Lytechinus pictus: one gene and its partner. The protein of the gene in region 2 binds, or shares a complex with, the protein of the main gene of each other region. Links are inferred from orthologs where the notes say so. Each region holds a gene or a part of one and is shown on either strand. Other genes may lie near its edges.

Evidence for each region.
Region 1: ral GTPase-activating protein subunit alpha-1-like (region 2) and ral GTPase-activating protein subunit beta-like share a complex: the UniProt entries of both Homo sapiens proteins name them as parts of the heterodimeric RalGAP1 complex. The link is inferred for Lytechinus pictus from reciprocal best matches to the Homo sapiens genes RALGAPA1 and RALGAPB.

The regions. Positions count from the first base shown.
Region 1 is NC_087251.1:38,741,924-38,749,167, forward strand, and holds the start of ral GTPase-activating protein subunit beta-like, read right to left. Parts: upstream 3,048-7,244; 5' UTR 2,891-3,047; coding exon 2,666-2,890; intron 1,895-2,665; coding exon 1,699-1,894; intron 1-1,698. UniProt on the Homo sapiens protein: Non-catalytic subunit of the heterodimeric RalGAP1 and RalGAP2 complexes which act as GTPase activators for the Ras-like small GTPases RALA and RALB.
Region 2 is NC_087251.1:21,744,446-21,752,641, forward strand, and holds the start of ral GTPase-activating protein subunit alpha-1-like, read right to left. Parts: upstream 3,073-8,196; 5' UTR 2,924-3,072; coding exon 2,818-2,923; intron 1-2,817. UniProt on the Homo sapiens protein: Catalytic subunit of the heterodimeric RalGAP1 complex which acts as a GTPase activator for the Ras-like small GTPases RALA and RALB.

The DNA of each region.
Region 1 (7,244 bases), about 17 Mb from region 2:
TTCATCAATAACTCTGAACAAGCATAGTTAATTCAGCACCACTGGTGAGTTGACTTTAGAGCTTTTGTATGTTTTGAAAGTAACAAATCATAAAGTATGTGAAAGAAACAATACTGATTTATGATAAAGGATATTTTATTAGAGTAAATGGATGATTCTTTCTGACCTATTCATAAAGTAATTTGAGTAAGCCCCTAATAGGATTGTTTGAACTTTATCCTTATTGAACTTTTAGAAAACTCATTTATATCAGCATTTCAAGAGATTGTATATTCATAGGGAGTCGCTGGACCTTGAATCGAGTATGGAAGGATGTCATAGATGCTGAATTATTTATTAATTATTTAGTAAGATGCTTTAATGCTTTAATTATGAATAACTATTCATAGAACCTGAACCATATAGTAGAGTGTTTTTCTGGCCGTTGTTTAATTTTAGATGGCACGTAGTCTGGGGCGTGATGCATCCCCATCCAATCCTAAACTTCAACGTACATGGCGGAGAAGCATGGAGTACTGTTTAGCGAGGTTGGCGATAGAAGGACTTTGTCGTTAGATTGTTTGATTCTCCGGAGTATGACCTTTTCGTCAAAGACGGAACAAAGTGGTGAAGTATGAAATTGAGACAGTGAGCGTGAATGGATCCTTTGAACAATTATTATATGCGCATATTTTCCTTTGATTATCAGAAATGGTTCAGAATAGAATGTAATTAATAGTGGAATTGAATACCGATGTTAGATGGTTATTAGATATCAAATAAATGAGTTGGTATTGGATTAAGAGGTTTAGAAAGATCACGATCAGGTCAGTGAAGGATCTGTTTTGTGCTTGTTAGCCTTAGTGGCAGTTACGGTTGTGCAGCGTAGAAATTGTTTGAAGAAAATTGTTATTTGGAGAGAGATATAGCATAGTATGCTTTGGAAATAAAGAATCTGATTTAAAGGCATGGCTGATGTGAATATTGTTTTTATTTAATTGTTCCCATGTGACACTCGCACATATCTCACAAGCAGTTGCCTGCACAAGTGGAAGCATGTCTGATTTGCATGCAGAAAAGTTTTGAACATGCTCAAAACTTTGTCTCATTGTTCCGTGCAAGCGTTGCGGGTGATTGCCCGCAACTCACCCGCAATGCTTGCACCAAACAATGAGACAGACCTTAAGAAACAAAGGTGATGTGGACATATATTTGAAGAGGAAACATACAGATATAAGTAAATGCTCCACAGCCTCTATTTTGATAACTCTGAATAAGATTGTGAAATGTGATAAAATTTTCATTGAAATTATTGTTTATAACAAGAATTTGGTTAATAAACACCTTATTTCCACAGATGCAGATGGGTTTAGCTCTCAAGCATATGTTCCAGTTATTCATCAATTCACCTTATGAATAGTATTATCAAACAAGTGTAGATTGGGTATTGGGAGATAATTACAATGGGAGATTTCAAGTTCAGTGTTGAGCTTTTGGTGTTGGTGATGGGCTACTCTTTATATGATCAAAGCACAAACCTAAAAATAAGACTGATCTTCGAATATGCCTCACTTGGTGTTGAGTTATCAATAATGTGATTTTGACCATTTTTATTCTCTGATCAGGTTTTGGAGCTATGAAAGGCAAACAAATAGACCTTAACATCAATACCAGAACTAACAGTGAACTTGAAAACACCAAATATTCTTGGTACTTTACCTTGTTTTCTAGGTTTGAATAGGTTGACAAGATGCTGAAAGATCCTCTGAATGTATGGATTTGGATCTTTGCTCAGTGGTGTGGGTAAGCTGGGCTGGGGTATGGTCAATGCTTTTAGCCATTCACAGTATACACTCACACAATCTCGAATTGCTTCATGTTCGTTCAAGGGGAGGCTCAGCCCATAGCAAATCACCTGGTAAAATAAAAAGTATGAATCAAATGTGATTTTTTAATCATAATGCACCACCCATAGTATGTCAATTATGATTATCGCCATGATATTCTAATCATTTGCAGTTTTATTGCCATGGAAATCATCTCAATTTTGCTCATTATTTCTCTCTTACACTACTATTGCAAAAGTACAGAATTCAGAAAAAATATGTCTGTTCCAACAAGGATATTGAAATTGAATGAAAACAGGTGTTGAACTGATCAAAACAATTATCAAGCGTGTTGGTCAATTAAAGCCTTTAGGCATACATCAGCTTTGTCTTTGACTGTTGTTTTATAGATCTAGAATAGATCTCACCCGATGCGTTTATGCCAAGGACTCGAAGGAGGGCCCTGCATTGTATACATCCAGATCCTTTAATTTTAAACACCAATTTCATTTTGTCCCAATGTGTAACTTGTATTAAGCAGAATACATCATGCTTAGATTTAGAAACACCCATATCAAGTCCACTAGGCCTTAGTATAAATGTCTTGTATCACTATCATTATCATTTATTGACACACTGTATTCTATTGTCAATGTCATTGATGGCAGCTTTTTTTATCTGCAATTCTGTCATGAATGACATGAATCATGATTAATGATTGATGAATGACCATTTTGGAGATAAAAAACTAGATCTAGGCCCTAATTAAAATTAAAATTAGATCACTTTTTAATTGTTAAACGAAGATATAGCGTACAAAGGGTTAACAGTGCCAGCTTTCCTATCATGCCTATAATTACCTCCATTGTCCACTCTACTTGTTTCTCTGATTCAAGTGGATTACATGCAGCAGACCCATCCCCTCTCTGCTGGAGAGCTGCCAGCGACGCCGTACTTGCGGCCAACTGCTTCACCACCGACACGGCCACATCTCTCCCCACAGTTTCAGGAAACGTATGGAGAACACTGTGATTGCTTTGGTCCGTTTCGATCGCCTCTTGCAAAGAAGCCCATCCAGAATACATCTTCTAATGTTATTAAATACAGACTCAAGAAGCTAGAAATGTGAATAAATCAAAGTATTTCACACAATACCATAATAAACTTTTTCAAAACTGTCATTCTTTAGTCCTTGTTTTGGTTCACTCGGTGTTGTTTTGCATTTCACAATTCACGCCCTCTGCGGCGCTAGCGATTTGAGATCAATCGAAAAGAAAAATTGAGAGAAGAGCCAGGAAAAAATGAGGTTCCGGGCGAAAAGATGCGTTCTTACTCTTACTTTATGCGTTGCGGTATTTTTCATGCTCAGGACATTGATGTTTATCCCAGAGATGTCGGAGGAGGAAAAGAGAATGATAGGTGAAGAAAGGGGAAAGCGCAGAAAGGACGTAAGTATACTGCTGACCTGTCGACTTTTTGATTTCCGTAGTCCCATGTCCTGCATGTTTGTGTTGGGTAACTCCGTCGCCGACTAGGCCTAATTCGGCGGCGGCGCGCTGCTCGCGGAGGTGAGCTGGGGCTCAGCTCAGGCTCGTCTCAAGTACCGGTACCTCAACTTCCTCAAGCAGGCGCGTAGCGGGGGGGGGGGGGGGGGGGGGCGGTCGCCCCCCAAAACGCTCCCAAAAAGAAAAAAAAGGAGAAAAAGAAAAAGCGAAAGGAGTATCAAAAGGGAAGAAAGGTATAGTAGTATACCTCGGGCTCGGGCGATGTTCGTCAGTAGTGAGTAGAGGCGCACGGCCAATATGGGAGACTCTCTCCAATACTATAGGGGTATGGTGTTAGGGGATTAGTAGTAATTAAGCACACAACATCACATGACCCACCGGCGGGACGAACCGTAACACAAGACCCGCATTCAGCTTTACAACACACACATACCGGTATTCTACACACGCCACTCAACCACATCACTCCATACTCAACCCCCGAGAGGTACAGACGTCCTGAGAGCTGTGCATAACAAGAATAAGGTAAGGCTTTCTCCCGGTGTGAAGTTTATATGTGTATAGCGAGTGTATTATTATTTATGTTATCGGCCCCCCGCTTTACTGGCGACGAGGATTAAAGCGATTTTTATTTTATTTTCGGCAAAACATTTTCTTTACTTCGCCACAGCCAACGCCGTTGCAGAATCTGCGTTGGCCGTGGCCGAATATAAAAAAGCCGCCGCCATCTTGAAAATTTTAGGCTTTTTATTAATTTGAGCTGTTTGACTCTGTTTTGTCCATAATATTAAATAAAACAAAAAGTAACATATTATTTTAGTTTGAGATTTCATTTTTTGGTGGAAAAAGTTTGATTTTTAGTTCCGTAAATATACTCTATTTTTTTACCGATCGGCACTGCCGTGCTGGCCTTGAAGGAATTCAGCGGCTAGCTCGACAGGAGCTAATCGGATTTTTTTGGACAAAACATTATACGTTGTACTATTTAGGGTAAATATCCACTCATTTTGTTGACCATATATTTAGCTGTTCCCTCGTTAGGATATATTTTTGTGGCCACCGAGTGTGATTGACTTTGATGAAATTTTGATTGCGTTTGACTGTGTTTACCGTATGTGGTGTGAATGTATTGCTGAATATTATTGATGTTGTGAGTTGATTATTTTATTACAAGCCTGAATTTGCTTTTCTCCTTTGACCGCCGCGCTGCTGCTGCTGTTGTTAGTATTTTTTTGTAATTATATTTCTGGGTGTTTTTTGGAGAAAACACCAGAAATTTGCTGCTGCTGCTGTTAATTGTTAGGAATTTATTATTTTTGGTCACGCGTCTCAGGAGATAAGGAAATTCAGTCTTGTATTAATTATTTTGTTGTTGCTGCTGCTGCTGTATTGAATATTTTGCTGCTGTTGCTGTGCTGTTGTATTGTTGCTGCTGCTGCTGTATTGAATATTTTGTTGTTTATTGCTGCTGCCGTTGTGTAATTGAATTGTTGCTGCTGCTGTTGTATAATATATTTTGTTGCTGCTGCTGCCGTTGAGTGAATGCTGTGAGCTGTGCTGCTGACATTTGTATTAAATTCATATTCAATCAATTAATTATAAATTGTATAATTAAATAAATTTTGTATATATTTAGATAAATTGTACTTGTAAATATTAACTTTTGTTCAAAAAACAGAAAAAAAATAAATAAATAATAAGAATTTATTTATTTGAAATTATTTCTATATATTTTTCATATCTTTCTTTGAATTTGAACAAGTGAGCGTTCGATTGTTTGCATTTTTTCTTTTCTTTCCTAAGAATTAAATCATACAGGAATTTTATTTTTAGGCAAAGGTAGCCTCTGGATTTTAATTTAATAACATCCTCAGGATATTGTGAGGTTAGTTCTGTTAATTCTCTTTCATTTTTTTTTTCAAAAAGTTAATTTTGTCCCAGATTTATTTTGATTTTATCCGCAAGACAAAGTAGTCTGCAGGATAATTTTTGGTTGATTACAGTTCAATTTTGGAATTTAATTTTTGTTACTGATTAATTTCTACATCAAGATGGCGAGCAACATACCAAGAATCAAAATCAACTTTTGTTCGTCTGAGGAATTGATGAGTCTGCCCGGAGTGGGTATGGCCACCGCCAACCGCATTCTACACGCGAGGGAGGCGGCCGACATTACTCCGGATACATTCTTGTCAATACCTCACATACCGAAGGCGGAACTATTAGTTTACGCCTTTGACTATGAGCCAACAACAACGGCTCATAATGTGGACCGCAGAGAAGTGCGCTCCGAAGTAGACGAGCCTTCTACGAGCGTTCCACTGATACCATCAAAGGAGCCCCCCGTGAGCCAGGCGTTTGAGGCTTGGCCACAGCACACCCGTGCACATAGCACTCGGGGTGCTGTAGGCCAGTCTTCTCAGACACAGGACGGGGAGGCCCCCTTATTTTTCACAGGGGGGAGGCCAGGTGGCGCTTGTACTCAGCAGCCTTCGGCCTCTCCAGAAGATAGGGCTAAGTCCCTCTGGGCTAACCAATTTGGATTTTTAGGATGGAACGATGGCCTGTTCCCACCACAGGGTCCCCACCAAGTTACCCCACCAGGACCCCAGTTCCAATGTGGTCCTCGTGCCCAGGTAGCTACCCCACCAGGACCCCAGTTCCAATTTGGTCCTCATGCCCAAGTAGATTTGCATGGTCAGGCTCCCGGTACTCAGGGTGGCCGACCAGCAATGTTCAATCAAACAACCCAGACACCTCCACATAGCTATCCACAGGCCGTTCCACACTTTACACAAGCACAGTACGAGGAAATGTATGGCGTGATGTTTAGGATGATGCAGATGATGCCATTCGGAGGAACTGGACAGCCAGCTCCTCCATACTGCAACCCTGCTGCCGCCTACGGTGGGTATTGCCCACCATGGGCTGGAGGCAGATATCCGCCACACTATCCTAACACTGTGGCCCCGCAAACCTCTCCCCAAGGACCATGTGACTTGCAATATGGGGGTAGCAACCCTGTGTATCAAGGCGCTGGACCTCAAGGAGATGGACATGGAGGCCCAGTATACAGTGAACATAGAAATACCACAAGGCCATCAGTAAGTCCTGGATACTTGGGGCTGCCAACAAGAAATCAGCCGCCCCGCGTCACCAGACTTTCTTCGGCCTCAAGACCTGTGGTACCAGAGTATGACGACAGAAGGCCCCCTTCTAGACCAACCTCTTTGCCGAAGACCATTTCGTTCGACGGCAAAGGAAGTTGGGCGGCCTTCTATTCGAAGTTCCAACTTTACACCGAAAGACATGGCATGTCTGATGCAGACAAGAAATATCAGCTGTGTCTGGCGTTGGAGGCCGAAGCCAGTAAGTTCATGGCCCTCATCCAGGAGAGCAATCCAAATATCGCCTTCTCTGACTTGGTTACCAAGTTGGAGAAGCGGTTCGCTCTCCAGGAGGAGCCGGAAGTTACTCGGATGCAATTTCAATCGGCTTTTCAACGCTCGGATGAAGACATCATCAAGTGGGCAGATAGGCTTATGACCCTTGCAGGTCAGGCCTTCGTAGGCCTACCTGACAAGTTCGTCCAAGAACTTGTAGTGGCAAGGTTCTGCCAAGGTGCCCAAGACAAAGATGCAGGGCATCATGTCCTGACTTCTCGGCCTGGGACATTAGATGAAGCCATGACCAAGTACAAATGGTTTCAGTTTACCCAGAAGACCATGCAGAAGCATGGCCCTAGGCTGAGAAACGAAGTAAGGCAGCTCTCTGTAGGAGAAGATAAGAATGACCTCAGGGTACAAGAGTCGTCTCCTCCGGAAGCTGCCACCAAAGGAAATTCTAGCCTTGAGGCTAGAATCAGTGCTCTGGAGGCTCAGAATGCAATGTGGGCCTCCAAGATGGATTCGATGGTTGCTGCAATCACGGATCT
Region 2 (8,196 bases):
AACATCCCGTTACCATGGCAACATAATTCCGACACATACGAAAAATATGTCTTGCACATCTTTACCCCAACACCAATACATGTATGTGTGACAAGTTTCATGAGAATTGGTTAAAAACTGAGGAAGTATTTCGATGCGCAATATTTGCAACGGACCGCCTGACCATACACTGATTCCTACATGTACCCCTTTAAACTTTGTTTGGCGAGGGTATAATAACGTATGATACTTATTCCCATCAATTAAGAGCTGATTTTGGATCAAACTTCATCTCCGGCAAGTTATGTGCTCTCTGCTAGTATAGCACTTGTTGGCCAGAAAGCATGCAGTCGTTTAAGGAGAGCGAGGGTACGAGGCACTGTACCGTTTGTGTGTCTGTGACTGAGTTGACCAAAAACCATTCGGATCAACACTGTGTGATTCATGTCTTTTAAATATAAGCCTGAGTCACATTGATTATTTTGCAAACCAGAGTTCGACAGCTTTAATTCGATTGAACATTGAGGCATCAAGTTTTGAAGGCGGGAAAATCAAGTCAATTTTTTGCTCCGTCGATACATGCACTGCAACGATATGCGCTGAGTGGGGTAAGCGCTGCACAAGCAGGTGACAGAGCAAAGTTTGTTTGTAATTTCCATGATCACAAAAAAACGGACCAATGCAGAATTCTTCCTAAAATATCTAAAATAATGATATTTATAGATCTATGACAACATATACGGTACGTTTGAAATGAAAGACATGAATCACGAAGAGTCAATACGATTCTCAGTCAACTCTCACATACTACACAGCCCCGTACGCAGCCCTGTACACTCACTCTCCAGAAACGACAAGTATGCTTGCCGGCCAACAAGTGCTATACTAGCGGAGAGCATTAACCTTGTCTGAGATGTAGTTGGATCCAAAATGAGTTAATGGGAATAAACATTGTAAGTAATTTTCTCTGGATGGTCACTTGAATTGGTATTCTATGCTGATATAGCGATTGTAAGAAAAGTTTATGTAATACGAGTTATGTGTGTACCAAATGGAAAGGTAGTAGAGTTCACACAGTCATTTTTTTATTTTTTATATTTGCACCAATTTTGCAAAATCTGCACCGGCACTCGATGACATTGATCAAACGCCGATTTTAAAATCAATTTGACACAGGCTTATCTTTCATACTATTTTATTTCAAATGTATACCTTGTCATCTGCAAATATCATTGTTTAAGATATTTTAGGAAGAATTTTTATTCATTTATTTATTTAAAAATCTTTCCCCAGGATAGGCCAAAACGGAATAATCTTTATTTTGGTACAATTTTTTTAAAAGATTTTTATGAAATAAAGACAAAAATCAATGAGCCCTGTCGGGGGGATTTTGCATTGTTAACGCTCTAATGGTGGCTGCACGATAGCGAGCTGTCTGTGTACGAGGAGAAATTAAAAATTAAAAAAAATGTTAAAAAACTCCTTGAAACAGACGGCTGCCAGCTGTCTGTGTCAGACTTAGACAGCTGGCAGCCGTCTGTTTCGAGGAGTTTTTTAACATTTTATTTTTTTTTAAATTTCTCCTCATACACAGACGGCTCGCTAGCGTGCAGCCACCATTAGGGGACTTGCAATGCAAAATCCCCCCGTCGGGGCTCTTCAATTTTTGTCTTTAATGAGTAAAAATTTTGAAAAGTCACGCGACCAAAATGCAAATTAATATTCCCTCTTGGCATCAATTGCCAAAAAACGGAGAAAAATCAAGTTAAAAGGAACAAAAACAGTGACTTACCTCGGCTGTCGCGCAAATTCACTTCCCCGTTTTATCCGATCTTAAGTACATAAACATATGGCCATTGAGTCCCCTGTACAGATCGCGCTAGAACTTCGGTCTCTGTATTTGGTGAGTGAAGCCAACGGAGTTCAGCTGAACAACCAACATAACAGAGACCGAAGCTTTTGGTCTATGTCAGACTGTGCCAACTCCATGCAAGGCAAAAAAGCTAAAGGCCCATTCATATATGATGGTGGTCCCCAAGTCTGCGCACTAACAATTCAAGTAAAGATTTAACATGAATTTCTCTTCATTTCACAAAATCTTTCAGACAATAATGTTCCTTATATCATTATAAGTGTACAAAATATCTCATAAAGATTTGAAAGAAATATAGGATTTTCTTGGAAAAAAAACCTTGGGCACTCATTTTCAGATTGAAAAAAAATGGTACCCCATGTCTGCACACCCATTTACTTTGCACACGATTCAGGGATTTTGATGAGAAAGGCTGCATTTTGAGGCCGTCACATGGAATGCCCCCCCAAAAAAAATTTCCACCATTGAGTCAGATTTTTTAATGAATATCTGTTCATGTATTGCGTGTGTAAAGTTTGTGTTTGTTGCATATCTTCTTATACTAGAACTTAGATTAAAAGTAGAAAACTAACGTTAGATTCTTAGAATCGCGCAGATACGCGTGTGCGCAGTCGCAGACAAGGGGGACTGCGCAGACTTGGGGGAAATTGCCATAACATTAACAATGTTGTTATGACTTATGAACTTATTTATGCCGATTAATTTATGGCAAGTTATGGCAATTAACAACAATAACATCATCGATCCTTAGCCGGCTTAGCATTTTATTAGGAAAAAGTCGAAGTCTAACTCTTCTATGAAGAAACATTAAAACATTAATCACCGACATTGATAACTAAAAACAAGTTCACAAACAACATACAGAACATAGCTAGTATAGTTATAGTAGCCATAGCTGCATAGCATTCTACCCCGGTATTTCTAACGTTAGGAAATAGGAAAATGAGCTGAACCGATTCGCCTACCAATCACGACTCGCAGGTGTCTGAGCCGAGAGAGCACATCTTTCTTTAAATCCAGCACCTTCTGACCAGATTTCTTAAAGTCTCCGTGTGATTTTTTACTGAACATGTCTTATCAATTGGTAATAGCACAATAAAGAAGACGAAAACTACAGAAAATTGATCCCATTCTCATCTCAATTTCATTCGTCGTTCAAGACCACAATACAGCTCCGATCGCTAGCTATCTAAGGTCAAGGGATTTTCGTTTGCGCATGCTCAGAAATCAGTACGATTATCGTCATCTTCAAATTGGCAATCTTAATTCTCAAACTTATTCACTTATAAGACAGTCAAAATAAAATTTTGTTCCATTTTATAGGCAAATTTATATATAGTAATTAAAATAAAGTTTAATTATTTTTGTTTTAGATAAAAAATTGATGATTAAGACAAGATAATTCTTCTAAAAAACAATGACAAAAATGAATGAAAGAAAAGTTATGATCATGTGACACTGTCACCTGTTCACAAGACTGAACCTAGGAGACAGTTTATAGAATTCGGTGGCATAGACCACAGAAAATTAATACAATTAGTTGGCATAGACTTTGCTGCAAATTGCCGTGCCTTTAGTTGAATCGGAAATAGCGGGTCCCATCCCCATCTTGATATATTTCTCTAACCATCCTTTTGGTATTGCCTGAAATGTCCAGTTAATGAATTTTGATGTTCCCTTTGCCAAATCGTGTTCCAGGGGGTTCAAAATTGGCAATTTTGGCGGCCATCTCGCATTTTTTTTCATGAAAATCACCGGAAAATCATTAATTTTCATCTAGTATTGCACAGATAATAGGAAAATACGCTTTTAATTATGGTTTAGAAAGTAGAAATCGATTGCAATCTTTTTCTGGATAGTCCATTAATAATATTTGAAAAAAATGAGAATTTAGGCCCAAATTTTCATGCTTCGGTAAAAATGTGTGCATTAATAAAAGTGTTTTTATCTTAAAGATCAACAATTTATACAAAATATCAGCATTCGACACGAAAGAGGATATGTTAACGAGAATAATGATATGCTTCATGGCAGTATTAATGTCTTAATTTGCTTAGATAAAGGGCAGATACTTCCAAATGTATTACTCGATATTGCGATAAAATGACACCAAAAAGCAACCTCTGTGTCTTATGGGGCATTGCAAGAATCTTGCGATCAACTGCAAGTCTATTTTCAGTCGCTAAATGATTCATAAGTCTTGCAATTGAATGTAAATTCATGATTGATCGTTAATCTGCTCCTTGAGACAAGGAGTGTAATCTGATTTTCTGCAGGTAAACTTGATCTATCAATTGTAAAATTGCAACAGAATATTTGCAATTAATTGCAAATATTTTCTTGCAACACCCCCTTAGTCACACTAATCTGTGGCGTAACAACGAGGGGGGCACGGGGGGCACGCCCCCCCCCCCCCACTGGCTGGCAAAAAAACGGCGGAAAAGGAGAAAAAGACGGAGAAAGGAAGAGAAACATAGTGGGGAAAGAATAAATTATTGTATATTATAATATGTCATATTATATTATATTATATTATATTATATTATATTATATTATATTATATTATATTATATTATATTATATTATATTATATAATATTATATTATATTATATTATATTATATTATATTATATTATAATATATTATATTATATTATATTATATTATATTATATTATATTATATTATATTATATCATATCATATCATATCATATCATATCATCTTATCTTATCTTATATTATATTATATTATATTATATTATATTATATTATATTATATTATATTATATTATATTATATTATATTATATTATATTATATTATATTATATTATATTATATTATATTATATTATATTATATCATATTATATTATATTTGTTATATCATATCGTATTGTGCTATGTTATGTTATATTATATTATACTATTATATTATATATAATATCACATTATGTATATTATGTTATATTACATAAGAAATCTTTTTTTCATAACTTTATGAAACATAATTTTATCAGGGCCTATGTGTTCATCGTTCTTGGTGCTCGCATTCTCTGTTTAAGGAGATATATAATGGCATTGGCACTCGCATTAGATGACTATGGAGAGATATGTATACTCTTAATGGATTCCTAAAAAATAGTCCTTAAATGTCCCAGTTCGGCCTGGGGTCTATATATACAAAAATTTCAGCTCGCGCTTCGTGCTTGCATCATTTGGATAGTTAAATACGTATGATCTTCGTAAATTCCTACAAACAAGCCTTAAGATGCCCCTCTTCAGATCTGAATTTCCTAATTTTTCAGCTTGCGCTTCGCGCTCGCAATATTTGATTAGCGAGATGCGTATGTTAATCATGATTATAATGACTACAAAAAGTGCTTCATGTGTTTAAAAGATGTTATAGAACGATGTACAACGATAAAATGTCTTGGAGTCATAATTGATCAACACCTATCTTGGTCATACCAAGTTGATAATGTATGTAAAAAGGTGTATGCCAGCCTAGGTATGCTAAAAAGGGTTAGCCCTTATGTTGACCAAAATACCCTGAGGACTCTATACCTATGTTTAGTCAATCCCACCTTGATTATTGCTGTGAAATCTGGGGGTTGCGTTTCAATATGCACACAGATCGTATAATCAAAAAATGTAATTTTTTATACCCCCTCAAAATAAAGGTTTCATGAACTCAAATGGCTCCCCTTCAACGATCGCGTTACCTATTTTAAGTGCATTTTTTATGTATGTATCAATGGTCTGTCATCGAAATTCTATTGTATAATGTGTTTACTTTTGCAAGTGACTCTCATTGATTTAACACTAAATATTCAGCTAAAGATAATTTTGATCACGCAAAAAACTCATACCGAAATGTTTTAACACTTTTTATCTTACTCAGCGATTTTACTTTTTGTAACATCTTGCCATTTAATTTAAAACAGTCAAAATCTCTATCAATCTTTAAACAGAAACTTAAAGTGCATCTTTTTAAATTCAAGTTTTATTATTGCCTTTTAAATTTGAAATCAACTTTTTATGTCTATCTACTTTAGTTTATTTATATGTACTGCTTTGTGTGTAATTTTTTTAAATTAGTATCATGTTTTTAACGATGTCGTATGTTTGCTACTCTGTTTTCTGTTATGATATGAGTTAAGTTATTTAGAATATTTTTGTGTATACTTCATATGTATTTAAATGTTTTATACTTGCTTTTATCATGCATTCCAGGGCCTTACGGAAGACCAGTTTATTGCTGAGTGGGCTACCCTGGTTAAATATATTTAAATAAATAAATAAATAAATATTTCGGCTATGTAAAAAACCTCTTTTACTTTCTTGAAATCACTTGGAGACGGGAAAGTAGGCTTTTTCTATCAGCTTCAGACTAGCTGACACAGCAAAGCCTATACTCCCTCAGGGAGCTGCCGAAGTTACCCCATCCCTTTATCGTATTTTGCCCATTTCTTGGAAATTCGCCATTTTGGAGCAGTAAAGCCACTTTCGTTGTTTTGTAACCACTTGGAAACGAAAAAGTAGAATTTTCTCTATCAAAAATCGGATGTAAAATAAGAAAGTGACAGCATTTTAAAGTTTCGCTTATTTTTCACCAACAGTTATATGCACAAATCAGTGGTATGCAAATGAGAGAGTCGATGATGTCCCTCACTCACTATTTTTTTTAGAGGTTGAATTATACAATATTTCAATTTTCACAGATTTGACAACAAAGACCAACTTGACTGAACCACAAAATGGTGAAACAATGGTAGATCCACATGTTCGGGAAAGAATAAAACTTTGTTTCACATGACAATGAGGACAAATTTCAAATATTCCATATTCCATCATGTCCATGAAGTGAAATACAAGAAATAGTGAGTGATGTCATCAGTCCCCTCATTTGCATACCGACCAAGATGTGCATTAAACTGTTTTGTGAAATTAAGCAAAACTTTCAAATGTCATAACTTCCTTATTTTAGATCCGATTTCGATGAAATTGTTTGTGTAACGCTTGTTTGATTTTTCTCTTTTTATTCAATTTTACATGATGTTGGGGATGGACTCGTCCTTTAAAACCACTTAAAGGCGAAAGAGTAGGTTTTTTCAACAGTTTTTTTTATCAGCTACATAATTATAAAGAAGTGCTGGCACAGCGAACCCTACTGGAGTCACCAAGATTCATTAACTCGACACTTCAGGCAATATAAAAAGGTTGGTTAAAAAATATATATCATGATGGTGTATGGGAACCCCTATTTCGGACTACTTCATGAGCGTCGCTAAAGGCCGAAGGGGGGAGGGTGGGCAGAGGCAACCGCCCAAACTATAATATGGGGAGGCAAACATATCGATTCGCTCCCAATAATTTTGACAAATTGAAAATTTTTATAATATGCCATTCAAATATATCAGTGGCGAGGAATAAAGCGCGCCCAATTACTCTTTTTTTCCACTCCGCCTTGGCGCCGCTAAAACAAAATTTAAAAAGGAGAAGCGAATCTTCTTTATCTATTCTCATTGTCCATTACTCTCTCTCTTTTCGGGTACTAAACATTCGCTGGTTAATACTAATTTAAAAAAAATCAGCGCCACCTAAGTCTAAGTCGGCACTGGTCAAGAAAATTCGGCGCTGCCTGACAGCCTGGGACTTTATCGGCGCCGATAATTTTCAAAATAGTAAAGACAAGTAAATTGCAAACTAGCCATCCCTAAAAGCATTGGCGGCAACAACAAATTTTAGGGGGACACGTCCCCGTCCCCCCCCCCCCCCCCCCGCTTCCGCCGCCTATGCTTAAAAGTAGATAAAAGTGAAAGGCTTTAAGCGCTAGCTACACTCGCTCGCATTTTAGGTATCCTAAACAATTTCCTTTTATGTATATTTTCAAGGAAATACTGTATAGCATCTTCTTCAAAGCTGAAAGCTGATGAAAATTTGTGTGACAACCCAGTTAATCTGCCAGAAAACCTTTTTTCTTTAAGACAAATGATTTTAAAACCAACAAGAGTTACCAGTACCTCATCGAAATGTTCAGATCACATTCTCAGTTCAATGCCTGGTAAGCATTTAATCAGTGACGTTGCTCAAATCGCATTAAGTGATCACTATCTAATTTATACATGCATTGGTGTACGCAATGAAAAGAAAATAAAACATAAAATGATTCGTTATCGTGACTTTCAAAATTTTGATGCCAAATTATTTATTCAAGATTTGAAGATATGTGATACGTTCAATAATTCAAATACCAATAATTTACCATTAAATGAAATGTGGTCAAAATGGAAAATGTCTTTCCTTGAACTTTGTAACAAACATGCTCCTTTCAAAGAAAGTAGAT